Saccharomyces cerevisiae S288C: one gene and its partners. Changing the gene in region 2 together with the main gene of any one other region gives a genetic interaction. Each region holds a gene or a part of one and is shown on either strand. Other genes may lie near its edges.

Region 1 (3,904 bases), on a different chromosome or scaffold from region 2:
TACTAAGAGGTTTAAAAGAAAGGTACGAGGTTCATCATGGTGTAAGGATCACTGATACAGCTTTAGTGTCTGCTGCAGTTCTTTCAAATCGTTATATAACAGACAGGTTTCTACCTGATAAAGCCATTGATCTAGTTGACGAAGCTTGTGCTGTACTACGTTTACAACATGAATCCAAACCGGATGAAATACAGAAACTGGATCGTGCTATTATGAAAATACAAATAGAACTGGAATCTTTAAAGAAAGAGACCGACCCTGTTTCCGTGGAAAGAAGAGAAGCGTTGGAAAAGGACCTAGAAATGAAAAATGATGAATTAAACAGATTAACAAAAATATGGGACGCTGAAAGAGCTGAAATTGAATCTATCAAAAATGCTAAGGCAAATTTGGAACAAGCAAGAATTGAGTTGGAAAAGTGTCAGAGAGAGGGTGATTACACTAAAGCATCCGAGTTGCGATATTCCAGAATTCCTGACTTGGAGAAGAAGGTAGCTTTAAGCGAGAAGAGTAAGGACGGAGATAAAGTAAATTTACTTCATGATTCAGTTACTTCTGACGATATTTCTAAGGTTGTTGCCAAAATGACTGGTATTCCTACAGAAACGGTGATGAAAGGCGACAAGGACCGCCTACTGTATATGGAAAATTCTTTAAAAGAAAGAGTCGTTGGCCAAGACGAGGCCATTGCTGCTATTTCTGATGCTGTACGTCTTCAAAGGGCTGGTTTGACCAGTGAAAAGAGACCTATTGCCAGCTTTATGTTCTTAGGTCCTACTGGTACTGGTAAAACAGAATTGACCAAGGCTTTAGCTGAATTCCTATTTGATGACGAATCAAATGTGATTCGTTTTGACATGTCAGAATTTCAAGAGAAGCATACTGTCTCTCGTTTAATCGGTGCACCTCCAGGTTACGTCTTAAGCGAATCTGGTGGCCAATTAACTGAGGCTGTCAGAAGAAAGCCTTATGCTGTCGTTTTATTTGATGAATTTGAAAAAGCGCACCCCGATGTTTCCAAACTACTGTTGCAAGTGTTGGATGAAGGTAAGCTGACCGATTCCCTAGGCCATCATGTTGATTTCCGTAACACGATCATTGTGATGACCTCAAACATTGGACAAGATATTTTATTAAACGACACAAAGTTGGGTGATGATGGTAAGATTGACACCGCAACCAAGAATAAAGTTATCGAAGCAATGAAAAGATCCTATCCACCTGAGTTCATCAATCGTATTGATGATATTCTAGTTTTCAATAGGCTATCCAAGAAAGTTTTGAGGTCAATTGTTGATATTAGAATTGCAGAAATTCAAGATCGTTTGGCCGAAAAAAGAATGAAAATTGATTTAACTGATGAAGCGAAGGATTGGCTAACTGACAAAGGCTACGATCAATTATATGGTGCAAGGCCATTGAATAGATTAATTCATAGACAGATTTTGAACTCCATGGCAACTTTCTTATTAAAAGGTCAAATTAGAAACGGCGAAACTGTTAGAGTGGTGGTTAAAGATACTAAGCTTGTCGTGCTACCAAATCATGAAGAAGGCGAAGTTGTTGAAGAGGAAGCTGAAAAGTAACTGCACAAGCGGTTTATGAATAATAAATTCCCAAGAAAATACATATATAAACATACACATTTCTCTTTTGTAAATAGAAGAATTAAAATAAAAGATTTTTGGTATCAAATAAACTGGATGAATGTTACATGTACCAAGTGCCCTGGCAATACAATAAAGCTATTGGTCTGGAAGTATTGATATTATTCAAATGTAATCTTCGAGAGTTACTGCGGGTAATACACACATGTGTCACATATTTTTCTCTCGAGTATGAAAAAATTTCATTACCTTTGTAAAAGCTTAATACGATCATTTCAATATGACTAGTAATAAAGGGGAAAGTTTGCGAAAATGGATGATTTTTCAAGAGATACCGAAAACTTTGTTTGCTGGTTAAAAACTACCGCTGAAATTGAAGTATCCCCTAAGATAGAAATCAAAGATCTTTGTTGTGATAATCAAGGCCGCGCAGTAGTTGCCACTCAAAAGATTAAGAAGGATGAAACATTGTTTAAAATACCTCGTAGTTCTGTTTTAAGCGTTACAACATCTCAACTGATAAAGGATTATCCTTCTCTCAAGGATAAGTTCCTGAACGAAACCGGATCGTGGGAAGGTTTAATTATCTGTATACTTTATGAGATGGAAGTTTTGCAAGAAAGAAGCCGATGGGCGCCTTACTTTAAAGTTTGGAACAAACCAAGCGATATGAACGCGTTAATTTTTTGGGATGATAATGAACTGCAACTTTTAAAACCATCACTTGTCCTTGAAAGAATAGGAAAAAAGGAAGCCAAAGAGATGCATGAAAGAATTATTAAATCAATCAAACAAATTGGTGGAGAATTTTCACGTGTAGCGACGTCCTTCGAGTTTGATAATTTTGCCTATATTGCAAGCATTATATTGAGTTACTCCTTTGATTTGGAAATGCAAGATAGTAGTGTAAATGAAAATGAAGAAGAAGAAACCAGTGAAGAAGAACTTGAAAATGAGCGCTACTTGAAATCGATGATTCCACTTGCTGATATGTTGAATGCAGATACCAGTAAATGCAACGCTAATTTAACTTACGACTCTAACTGTTTAAAGATGGTTGCTTTGAGGGATATTGAAAAGAATGAACAAGTGTACAACATATACGGAGAACATCCAAATTCGGAACTACTAAGAAGATATGGGTATGTTGAATGGGACGGTTCGAAGTATGATTTTGGAGAAGTGTTACTTGAAAATATTGTCGAGGCGTTAAAAGAGACTTTTGAGACGAATACTGAATTTTTGGACAGGTGTATTGATATCTTACGCAATAACGCCAATATTCAAGAATTCTTAGAAGGTGAAGAAATAGTACTAGATTCATATGATTGTTATAATAATGGTGAATTGTTGCCTCAACTAATACTTTTGGTCCAAATCTTGACAATTCTTTGCCAAATTCCAGGTTTATGCAAACTGGACATAAAAGCAATGGAAAGGCAAGTGGAGAGAATTGTAAAGAAGTGTTTACAATTGATAGAAGGTGCCCGCGCCACTACAAACTGTAGTGCCACATGGAAACGTTGTATTATGAAGCGTCTAGCCGATTACCCCATAAAAAAGTGCGTTTCTATCGAAAAACCTTCGAAAGGAAACTCATTAACAAGGGAAGAACTAAGAGATGTTATGGCTCGGAGAGTTTTGAAAAGCGAAATAGATTCGCTGCAAGTTTGTGAAGAAACCATCGACAAGAATTACAAGGTTATTCCTGATGAAAAGCTGCTAACTAATATTTTAAAGAGAAAGTTGACAGAGGAAGAAAAAAGCTCTGTCAAACGTCCTTGCGTGAAGAAGTGAGCGGTTGTTCTAACCACTATTTAAAGCCGCAATTAGTAATGCAAAAAGTTGGCCGGAATTAGCCGCGCAAGTTGGTGGGGTCCCTTAATCCGAAAAAGGACGGCTTTAACAAATATAAACTCCGAAAATCCCCACAGTGACAGAATTGGAGAAACAACCAGTTTTGATATCGCCATACATATAAAGAGATGTAGAAAGCATTCTTCACTGTAATGTCCAAATCGTACATTTGAATTTCTTGTAGGTTTATTTAAAAGGTAAGTTAAATAAATATAATAGTACTTACAAATAAATTTGGAACCCTAGAAGATGTCGAAATTGGGACAAGAAAAAAATGAAGTAAATTACTCTGATGTAAGAGAGGATAGAGTTGTGACAAACTCCACTGGTAATCCAATCAATGAACCATTTGTCACCCAACGTATTGGGGAACATGGCCCTTTGCTTTTGCAAGATTATAACTTAATTGATTCTTTGGCTCATTTCAACAGGGAAAATAT
Region 2 (7,744 bases):
ATTCGAAAGAAGAATTAAACTGAGGAAAGAAAGAGCAAATTAATAGAGGGCCGTTTTATAATATCTCTAGGACTCAAAAATTCTTCCAAGAAAATTTGTCCGGGTAACGAACATAGTTTTATTATCTTAGGTCTATTCTCAAATAACGCTGTCATTAATTGGCGAGATGAAAAGATAATAGTACACAGTTTTTTTGAGAAGATATATGTTAGTTACCGCTAATTATTTTCAATGCTAAAAACTTTGCTTTTCGCATTTTTACTTTTGTTTTTTTTGTTATGTCTCTTACCAGCTGAACTATTTTGAACTTTGTGGAATGGTGTACTTAATCTACCTTCGACGTTGTTCATCTTGAAGAAGTCTCTATCCAAGTCCTCAGCGGCATTGTACAATGCAGCTTGTTTACCACCGTGCGTAACAGATTTGGCTTCTTTTTGTGTGTCACCACCAGTGTGAGCTGAAAACGTTAGCTGATTCAAATCACGAGCTAAATCCACGATATCAATGCCTTTAGCCTTAGCAGCATTTTGCACTTGCTCCTTTCTGGTGTCCGGTAATCTGTCGAACACATATAAATCTTTGTTAAATTCTTCACACTCTTCTCTAGTGTAAGGTGTATCATCCTCTAGATGGGGCGGAGGGTTGACATACAGTAATTTCCCATTGACGTAATCTTTCAATATATAACGACTTGCTCTTGGTTCATCAGCAGAACCGTAACCTTGAGTCATATAACCACGAGCTCTGGCGTATGCGACTAACAATTCTTGAGCAGTTGGTATATCCCCATTCCCACCTTCATCCCTTGATTTGGTTTGAATATGGATACCATAAATCGCTTCAATGTAATACTTTGGTATTCTTTCTGCTACTAAACCTGCTGGACCAATATAATCACGTAATTGATCAATAGGTAAAACACCATTACACACGAGCTCACCCTTGTTATATGCAAAGTTTGGGAAGACAAGACCGGGACAGTCACAAAGCATGACAGAATCAGATAACTTAATAGTTTGGAAGTGTTTTGTTTTACCAGGCGTGGATGAAACAGAAACTTTCTTGGCACCCACGAGCGAATTAATAGTGGAGGATTTACCTACATTTGGATAACCAACCAAACCAATATTAATCAGTGGAGGTTGACCGGGCAGAGGTGGCAATAAAGGCTCGTTTGGAGCTTTTGATAAAAACAATTCTTCCAGTTGGTCAATGGACAGAATTTTAACTTTTTCCATAACTTTTTCATCAGCATCGAACCCTTCTTTATCAGCTTCCTCGAAATCTTGTTCTCTATAATCTTCCCCCATTTCCTTTTGTTTCTCCAATAATTGATTAGCTCTCAATGCAGAGTAAAACGTGAACGAAATATTCTTGGAGATAAAGTACTTTGCCCAAGCGATACGTTGCTTTTTGGTCAATAAATCTGCTTTATTAACTAGCAGTAAGTTTGCTTTTCTGTCATCTGACTCTTTTACATATCTTTCTAAATCGACAGATCTAAACAGCAACGGATTCCTCGCATCTACAATTTGAACAACTAAATCTGATCTTTCAACAACTCTCCATAACTGTTTCCAAACTTCGATATTTCTTTCAAACGGTGTTAACAACAAGTCTTCATTGCTTTCTTGTAAATGTGCCAATTTTCTTCTCCATTCTAAAAACGCTTCCTTTTCTTGCCTATCAAGCTGAAACTTGGACATGCCCTCGTTCCATTCAGGCCTCCTTGGAACAATCAAATCCTTAGCAAGCGCTCTTTGCTTCGCATTAAGATTTCCACGCTGCTCATTAGTCATAGAAAACCCTTGAGATGTCGCAGAATCATTACCGCTATCCATTCTAATAATTTTAACATTTGAATGTCTATCGGCCGTGAAATCTTTGTCTGCCAGTGCAGCTGTACTCAAGAATTCATCTAAAGCTGATTCTTGAGTTACAGATCTTAATTTAACCCAGTTGGCCTCATGCTTATCGGTAGTGAACCTCATTTCACCATCAGGTAAATACTCGATGGCATTTTCTTTTTGACGTGCATATTTAATAGCTCTGCCTAATTCAAGCTTATTTTTATTTTTACGGTGGGTAGGTTTTGGCCCTTTTGGCGCCTTCCATTTCTTGGGAGCTTCTTTTGGTGGCATAGTTGGTGGGGGTCCTCAATATCAGATTTAGTTTTGTGTTTAAAAGAAGTTGGCTTATAAGCTCATCACCTCTTTATTAAGTAGTAGAATGCATTTTCATTGACAAATTTTTTAATCTCGGCATTGAAAAATTTCCAGGCGAAAAGGCGAGGGAAGGGAAGCTTGATATAATTCGAAAGAATACCCAATATCAAGAATAATAATATCATTTGATGTAATATCATTATATTTGTAAGAGCTTTTTAAAAGCATCATCTTTCTTGATTCATCTGTTGCCTCGTATTATACAGAATAATGCACACGTATAAAGTACCAATATATAATGTTATGTATACATATATTCTTATTTATTGTTGGGCAGTAATTACTGACATACACTTAAATTCATTTGAATAAGTGGCTTTCCATAAACGTACCTTCCCATCATCCCCAGCACTGCTTAAGATTGTACCCGTTAAATTCCAAGACACGGACCAAACTTCGCCATTATGGTCATCATGCTCGCTTAGAAGTTCAACTTGCAAGTTTGATTGTAGCTCAGCTTTCTCTTCGGTATTTGAGTCTGATCTGCCCTGTGCATCCATGTCAACATCAGCACTATTATCAAACATATTTGAGTTAGTTAAAGACTCCTCTGAGGCCAGGGGACTTAGTTTTTCTGTGATTTTGAAAATTCTAATTCTACCATCTTTGCAACCTGTTGCAATGAGTTGATACCATCTACCAATGGAAGGAGCCCAGCTGATACTTCTTATTAAACTTTTATGACCGGGAAGTTTTGCTGCAACGTGAAGTTTACCGTCTTTACCCCTTTGGTATATAATCGCTTGTTCCAATGCAGAGACTGCGAGCTTTTCAGGAGAAAATCTCGAAGGACACCAAGAGAGACAAAAATCAGACTGTAAATGATTTGCTGGTGGTATAGATAGCACTTTCATCTCAGAAGTCAGTGTCCATGACCTTAGGTCAGAAGGTTCTAAGGCATCATAAAGTCTGAGGATTCCATCGTTACCCAAACAAGCTAATTTTAAGCCCAAATGCGCTGGCGCAAATTTTACACTATAAAGTGATCCTTTGGAATCATTCAGGGTACACAGCTTGTTCCAACGACGGCCAGAGCATTCTTCTTGGTCGGGATCTTCTTCCCATAATTTTACCGTCTTATCGTAAGAGGCTGAAGCAATGATGCGCCCATATTCTGGACTGGCCCAATCAATGGCCACGATACTACTGTCGTGAGCTCTCCATGAGTCACTGAGTTCCCAATTACTCGTGTCCTTGTCTAATTTAAAAACTTTAATATGTTGATCAGAAGAGCATGTTGCCACATGTCTTCCGTAAAAGTCATAAACGACATCATGAACTAAATCATCATGCCCACTATCAAATGGTTGCATATTCAGAAATATTATTGGGTCGTTCTTCTTCTTCCTTAGTATCTCTTCAGAAGGGAAACCTTGTTTATAATTTGGTTTACTTGTCTCTATTCAGTTCATGATTTTTTCCATCGTTTTGCCGAAGACTTAACTAACAATAAATAAGAGAAACAGATATATTAAAACTTGGTTGATAATGCAGCACGCACATTCAATCGCGAATAATATACAAAAGATTATTTCTAAAGTTACATATAATGCACACCGGGTGCTGGAAGTATAATACATGCAAAATAAAATGGGCACTATCTCGTTGAAAAGCATCAAGATGTTATTATAAATGATACGCACCACCAGGTGAAGGTTTGAGAAAAGAAAAAAAAGCACTAACTTTTCTTTCAAAAGGCCACATTATTACTCCTTCAAACTGTCGAAAAAGGCTTGTCGATCTTCCAGTAAAGATTGTGTCCATTTTTTAACTTCATCAGTTTTTATATCATTGATGGCTCCCAAAAATTGTTTCAAATCCTTCTTGCCATTATACTTTTGTTCGTACTCAAAACATTGAACCAACATTTCATACTTATCAATATCTTTGACATATCTTCCTTCCAAACAGGTCTGCTTTTCGTATGCTAACCAGTCATCAAGAATTTCCCTAGATGCGCTTTCACTGCAGGGCCTTATTATGCTTTCACAGAGATACTTGACAGTTTCAAATTCTCTGCGATGTTTCTCTTCCTTTGTCATTGGGTCATTAGGTGTAATATCACCAACTAATGACTCCGCAAAATCGTGAACAAGTGCGATTCTGATACATTTGTTACGATCAACATTCTTGTCCGTAATCAGCATGGTAGTTAAACCCATTCTGTACATATGGTCAGATATACTTTCGCATGGGTCAATACCATGGTCAACCCAACCAGTTCTTCTTTGCGTTTTCAAAAGTTGTATAATATTCAAAAACGCTAACTGATAATTTGGGTGAGGTTTCGAAAGAATTGCCAAAATCTCCCTAGGTATATTATCTTCTGGCTTCCAGATGTTAACTGCAGTCATTTTGTTTTTCCTGGTCTTTACCTCGAATAGGTTTTCTTGTTTTGTTATTTGTTTTCTTTTTGGACCCTATGTTTATATATGGATTTTGAAAATCTTTTAAAAAAGCGATAAAAGCGTTGGGATCTGCCACTGGTAACTTCAAAATAGACAAGACGAAAAAACGGTGAAAATGGGTGATAGAAATAATACAGAAGTAGATGTTGAATTAGATTAAACTGAAGATATATAATTTATTGGAAAATACATAGAGTTTTTGTTGATGCGCTTAAGCGATCAATTCAACAACACCACCAGCAGCTCTGATTTTTTCTTCAGCCAACTTGGAGACGAATCTAGCTTTGACGATAACTGGAACATTTGGAATTCTACCCTTACCCAAGATCTTACCGTAACCGGCTGCCAAAGTGTCAATAACTGGAGCAGTTTCCTTAGAAGCAGATTTCAAGTATTGGTCTCTCTTGTCTTCTGGGATCAATGTCCACAATTTGTCCAAGTTCAAGACTGGCTTCCAGAAATGAGCTTGTTGCTTGTGGAAGTATCTCATACCAACCTTACCGAAATAACCTGGATGGTATTTATCCATGTTAATTCTGTGGTGATGTTGACCACCGGCCATACCTCTACCACCGGGGTGCTTTCTGTGCTTACCGATACGACCTTTACCGGCTGTACAAAAAAAATATTGTAATGAAATACAATTTTTAAATCGTTAGTAAAACAGGTTTTCAACTGGACATTTTATCGAAACAAAAGAAACGTGGTAACTCTTTTTCATAATTGCGCTCTCTACAACCATTTGATACAGCGATAATTAGTGCTTTCCATAATCTAAATGAAAGTTACCTTTTATAGCCGTAAAATGAGTAGACAGTATGACTGTTCTGAATATCATGGTATAATAAAGGAGAAGTATGACAAAGGCTATGCACACTTTCTTTTTGCTCAGTTTGCGATGGAAGAGTACATTTACTCGAGCTATTACCTCAAATAAGCCGTCTCAACAGTGAGATGGTAATACAAAGTTCGCAATCAAAACACAAAGAAATATGTTGAGTACACTTAGCTGATTGACATTCTCCTGTACCATGATATACACACGACATATTGGTTGCACAACACTAAAAAAAAAGTCACCGTCTTGGTTCTTTCATTCCCTCTTCCAAATGGAACTACATACCTGAGACGTGACCTCTGTGCTTTCTAGTCTTAGTGAATCTGGAAGGCATTCTTGATTAGTTGGATGATTGTTCTGGGATTTAATGCAAAAAAATCACTAAGAAGGAAAAAAATCAACGGAGAAAGCAAACGCCATCTTAAATATACGGGATACAGATGAAAGGTTTGAACCTATCTGGGAAAATACGCATTAAACAAGCGAAAAACTGCGAGGAAAATTGTTTGCGTCTCTGCGGGCTATTCACGCGCCAGAGGAAAAATAGGAAAAATAACAGGCATTAGAAAAATAATTTTGATTTTGGTAATGTGTGGGTCCCTGGTGTACAGATGTTACATTGGTTACAGTACTCTTGTTTTTGCTGTGTTTTTCGAAAGGGTTTCCTGGGAACTAGTGCTATAATGTCAACATCAAGTATCGTAGATTTCAATTCAACTTAGCTCTTATTACAGTTTATATATAATACGCATTTCATAAGGTTCATTCCACCTCGTCTCTTGTAATCATTACAATGCTGTTGATCAACTATATTTAACAATATTATAGCTTGTTTCTTTATAACATTAGCTTACGCTCATAGGCGGCAGTAAACGATGATTAACCATGAAACGTAAGGTAACGGTGGCATAATTTGGTATTTGTTTTCTTTTTTTCATTTTTTGAACTATTACTTGGTTTTTTCGAGAGCAAACTACCTCATACTTATTTCTTGTGTGTTAATATTATATTGGCGGCAAAGTGAAAGGGGTGATCATTCTGTTATGAAAAAAATAAAGAACTTAAGAGGAACGGTGAAGAAAGAAAACGGATAAAATGAGAAGAGTTAAACAGGTACGTAGCATAGTATGAATAGGATTCTATCTAGTGCATCGTTGCTATCCAATGTTAGCATGCCAAGGCAAAACAAGCATAAAATTACAAAGGCGTTATGTTATGCAATTATAGTAGCCTCAATCGGTTCAATACAATTTGGTTACCACTTGTCGGAATTAAATGCACCTCAGCAGGTGCTTTCGTGCTCAGAATTTGACATTCCCATGGAGGGCTATCCCTATGACAGAACATGGCTGGGAAAAAGAGGATATAAGCAATGTATACCATTGAATGATGAACAGATTGGAATCGTGACCTCCGTTTTTTGCATTGGAGGCATTTTGGGCTCTTATTTTGCCACCAGTCTGGCCAATATTTATGGAAGGAAGTTCTCAAGTTTAATTAACTGCACATTGAATATCGTCGGTTCGCTGATAATCTTCAATTCGAATAGTTATAGGGGCTTAATCATTGGTAGAATTCTAGTGGGTATTTCGTGTGGCTCTTTGATCGTGATTATACCCCTTTTCATTAAGGAAGTTGCTCCAAGCGGTTGGGAAGGTTTACTGGGTTCGATGACACAAATCTGTATCAGGTTAGGGGTCTTGTTGACACAAGGAATAGCCCTCCCACTGACTGATTCATACCGTTGGAGGTGGATTTTGTTTGGTAGCTTCCTTATCGCGGTATTGAATTTTTTCATGTGGTTTATAGTCGATGAATCTCCAAAATGGTTGTTAGCACATGGAAGAGTCACCGATGCTAAGTTATCTCTATGTAAGCTACGTGGCGTGACTTTTGATGAAGCCGCACAAGAGATACAGGATTGGCAACTGCAAATAGAATCTGGGGATCCGTTGATTGAACCAACCACCACGAACTCTATTAGCGGTTCTAATTCATTATGGAAATACTTGAGGGACAGAACAAATGTCAAGTCTCGCCATGTTATCACTGTATTGTTATTTGGCCAACAATTCTGCGGTATAAACTCCATTGTACTATATGGTACCAAGATAATTAGTCAACTGTATCCTCAGCACGCAATTAGGATAAACTTTTTCATTAGTATGGTGAATGTATTAGTCACCATACTAGTTTCTCTGCTAATTCATAGTTTGCCACGTAAACCGCTTCTGATGACGTCCACCGTCTTAGTTTCTGTTACCGCCTTCATT
Region 3 (3,953 bases), on a different chromosome or scaffold from region 2:
TTCATAGGCGTTCGCTTGCGATAAAATGGATAATAACGCCAGAAGCAGACTTGTTTTGTTCGGTCTCATTATTTAAATAGAATTTTTTATCCTGAGTACTAAATCAGCCAACGTACTATCCTGAATAAATGTGATGCAGATTCCTTTTTCTCCTCTTGGTTATCTCTCTTTTTCTCTCTCCTTATTAAAAAATTTACGGACAACGAGGAGCTTCTTTCTTGTTTACCTTGATTACCCTTTAAGCAATAACAATATCAATACGAGATTTTCTGTAATGTTAGTGCCTGGTCGAGTTTACTGTATCGTCCAAGAAAACTACACTGCGTTAAATTCTTCCAAATGAGGCTATGATACGCCAAACACTTTTATTTTTCCCCTCCGTTTCTCTCGCTTTCGCTTCGAAAATTACATTATTTTCTTCCCCATGCAGCGTTATTTCCATCTTCAGAGAGGAAAGGCGGAGAAAATTTTTCTTGAGGAAGGAATTCTACGAAAGTAGTCAACTATATTACTAATCGTTTGACATAGAATGCCAAAGTTGCAGCTTTTCCACTAACGTCAAATTTGCGTAACAAGCGCTGCTGTGTAAACTGTCTTGCTTTTTAATAGGACTGACAAAAATTATAAGCGGAGAGATAATATTTAATACTGCCATTGACCTTAGTACCGGTACAGGACAATATGTTTGTATCCTTGGTGTCATAAAGAAGAGAAAAACAAGATAAGATCTCCACATTATTTTGCAGAAGGCGACTTTGGGGGCCGATGATATCTGCTTCCAGAAGTATGTAAAAAAATTACACACCATTAAGTTCTTATGTAAACCGAAGTCTGGAAGAGAGGTGGTGGAATTTCCAGTCTGCTACTAGGCAAAAAACTTGAAACACTTTCATATATGATGTTGTTTTGCCGAGCTATTACAAGACGATTTATCATAAACTACTTGCTTGAGCAGGAACGATTTCACAATCTGTTTAGCAGGTTGTTATGAAGTAGACACGATAAAGTTCTTGAAGAAAGATTGTGGATGGGTTTGCTGAAGCTTAGAACTAAGAAAAGAAACAAGCACGCGCAAGAAAACCGCTACGGCTAACTTCTAAGGTGAGGATATTGTGATTGTTTATGCCTCATATTTTGCGTTTTTATATGTTCTTCCTTCATACGGCGTGCAAATTATCCGCCGGCGAACAGGGTGCTATTCTAAAAGGAACTTTGAAACTGTAAACGCGGTGTACTGAAGGGGTCATCTGAACGAACAATATTTTATGCTTTTGTTAGCCAAACGGTACTGATAAGGGACTGTGAAAAAAAAAAGACAATGTATGGGGTTCACGGTTTCCCAGATTCGTGTGTGTGTAATAATTCGTTTACGGCGCACGACAGACACTTCAGGAAATTTAAAGATCAGAATAGGCATACACTCCGCGCAAGGAAAACAAAAGTTGCTACCGTAACCGGCTCGTACGGGGAAAGCAAGGTCATCTAGTGCTCACTTACGAACTGGCATAATCGAGTTGTGACTTCCAAACTTAACCGTACTCTCACAGCTGATGTGATCCGAAGAAAACCCTGAAGATACAACAATGGCAACCAAAGGCAACTTAAAAAGGCAAACGAAGTACTTTTCAACAATAGCTTACACTGAAACTCGCGGAGAGGCGACGCTGCGCGCGAATTATCAGTAAAAATCTCGTAACAACCCATCTGCCACTTTTAGAAGGAATGGAAATTCTCAAAAAATGACGGAAAATAATAGAACAGGGTTCCTAAACGATGCATTTCTAACAAGTAGGATAGTCCAAAAGGGAGGATGCAAATTCTTTGTTTTCCACGCAGTAAGATATGATCCCAAGCTTTCGAATATAAAAAGGGAAGGATCGCTAGGACAGATCAGTTTTTAGCCCGTTTACTTATCTCGTTCCCTACTCTTGTTCTGATAGAAACCAGCAACAAAAACCTATTCACTCGCTTATTAATACCATAAAAAATATGGCTTACTCTAAAATCACATTACTAGCCGCTCTTGCTGCTATTGCTTACGCTCAAACCCAAGCACAAATCAACGAATTGAACGTTGTTTTAGATGATGTTAAGACCAACATTGCCGACTACATCACCCTATCCTACACTCCAAATTCAGGTTTTTCCTTGGACCAAATGCCAGCTGGTATTATGGATATTGCTGCGCAATTGGTTGCAAATCCAAGTGATGACTCCTACACCACTTTGTACTCTGAAGTGGACTTTTCTGCTGTTGAGCATATGTTGACTATGGTCCCATGGTACTCTTCTAGACTGCTTCCAGAATTAGAAGCAATGGATGCTTCTCTAACTACCTCAAGTTCTGCTGCCACATCTTCAAGTGAAGTTGCTAGCTCTTCTATTGCTTCATCCACTAGCTCTTCTGTTGCACCATCCTCAAGTGAAGTTGTCAGCTCTTCCGTTGCACCATCCTCAAGTGAAGTTGTCAGCTCTTCCGTTGCACCATCCTCAAGTGAAGTTGTCAGCTCTTCCGTTGCTTCATCCTCAAGTGAAGTTGCCAGCTCCTCTGTTGCGCCATCCTCAAGTGAAGTTGTCAGCTCTTCCGTTGCTTCATCCTCAAGTGAAGTTGCCAGCTCCTCTGTTGCGCCATCCTCAAGTGAAGTTGTCAGCTCTTCCGTTGCACCATCCTCAAGTGAAGTTGTCAGCTCTTCCGTTGCTTCATCCTCAAGTGAAGTTGCCAGCTCCTCTGTTGCGCCATCCTCAAGTGAAGTTGTCAGCTCTTCCGTTGCTTCTTCTACAAGCGAAGCTACTAGTTCTTCTGCTGTCACATCTTCCTCCGCTGTTTCCTCTTCGACCGAGTCTGTTAGCTCTTCCTCTGTCAGTTCTTCCTCAGCCGTTTCCTCTTCTGAAGCTGTCAGTTCCTCTCCAGTTTCCTCAGTTGTTTCATCTTCGGCCGGACCTGCTAGCTCAAGCGTTGCTCCTTACAACTCAACCATTGCTAGCTCTTCTTCCACTGCCCAGACTTCTATCTCGACCATTGCTCCTTACAACTCCACAACCACCACCACCCCAGCTAGTTCTGCTTCCAGCGTTATTATCTCAACCAGAAACGGTACCACTGTTACTGAAACTGACAACACTCTTGTCACCAAAGAAACCACTGTCTGTGACTACTCTTCAACATCTGCCGTTCCAGCTTCCACCACCGGTTACAACAATTCTACTAAGGTTTCAACCGCTACTATCTGCAGTACATGCAAAGAAGGTACCTCTACTGCAACTGACTTCTCTACACTAAAGACTACAGTTACCGTATGTGACTCCGCCTGTCAAGCTAAGAAGTCTGCTACCGTTGTTAGCGTTCAATCTAAAACTACCGGTATCGTTGAACAAACCGAAAACGGTGCTGCCAAGGCTGTTATCGGTATGGGTGCCGGTGCTTTAGCTGCTGTTGCCGCCATGCTACTATGATTTTAGTACGTGTCGAAAATGTTCGTTCCGCTTATGATTATATTATTATTTCAACTTACCAGTTAATGCTTAACTTTTAAACTGTCATATGTACTTCTCTGTATTATATAAAAACTGACAACTGGCCTTTTCTATTGTTGATTTCTTTCATCCATCGTTAAATATTTTCAGAATGTGGGCAGGAAGACATGCATGTTTGAAGGTGCCTATCCTAGCATCATCATAAAAGAAAACGGTAAATCATTTCCGTTTTCAAAACGTACACTACAGCCTCCAGTTGATGAAATCAGTTCTCACAATAATTCGAGGTTTAAAAGAAACAGTAAAATTTAAAAAAAACTATTCAATAGATAAATTGGTATATACGAACATTAAAAATTCCATTTAAAAATGAGATTATAATAACATGGCGGCAGCGGCCATGACACCAGCACCCATACCGATGACAGCCTTGGCAGCACCGTTTTCAGTTTGTTCGGAAACAGTGCTAGTGGCTTGAA

Evidence for each region. Genes that interact genetically often act in the same process or in processes that back each other up.
Region 1: mutations in RPL28 (region 2) and RKM4 together harm fitness more than expected from each alone (negative genetic interaction), as found in Saccharomyces cerevisiae (one large-scale study listed by BioGRID).
Region 3: mutations in RPL28 (region 2) and TIR4 together harm fitness more than expected from each alone (negative genetic interaction), as found in Saccharomyces cerevisiae (one large-scale study listed by BioGRID).

What each region holds. Positions count from the first base shown.
Region 1 is NC_001136.10:969,490-973,393, reverse strand, and holds RKM4 (ribosomal lysine N-methyltransferase), read left to right. Parts: upstream 1-1,919; coding exon 1,920-3,404; downstream 3,405-3,904. Other genes in the region: chaperone ATPase HSP78, read left to right, coding at 1-1,586; CTA1 (catalase A), read left to right, coding at 3,714-3,904. UniProt on the Saccharomyces cerevisiae protein: S-adenosyl-L-methionine-dependent protein-lysine N-methyltransferase that monomethylates 60S ribosomal protein L42 (RPL42A and RPL42B) at 'Lys-55'.
Region 2 is NC_001139.9:309,028-316,771, reverse strand, and holds RPL28 (60S ribosomal protein uL15 RPL28), read right to left. Parts: upstream 5,806-7,744; coding exon 5,757-5,805; intron 5,246-5,756; coding exon 4,845-5,245; downstream 1-4,844. Other genes in the region: ribosome biogenesis GTPase LSG1, read right to left, coding at 219-2,141; SEH1 (Seh1p), read right to left, coding at 2,489-3,538; YGK1 (5'-deoxynucleotidase), read right to left, coding at 3,932-4,579; VPS73 (putative sugar transporter), read left to right, coding at 6,599-7,744. UniProt on the Saccharomyces cerevisiae protein: Component of the ribosome, a large ribonucleoprotein complex responsible for the synthesis of proteins in the cell.
Region 3 is NC_001147.6:342,346-346,298, forward strand, and holds TIR4 (Tir4p), read left to right. Parts: upstream 1-1,989; coding exon 1,990-3,453; downstream 3,454-3,953. Other genes in the region: SLG1 (Slg1p), read right to left, coding at 1-69; YOR008C-A (uncharacterized protein), read right to left, coding at 512-736; TIR2 (putative GPI-anchored mannoprotein), read right to left, coding at 3,850-3,953. UniProt on the Saccharomyces cerevisiae protein: Component of the cell wall. Required for anaerobic growth.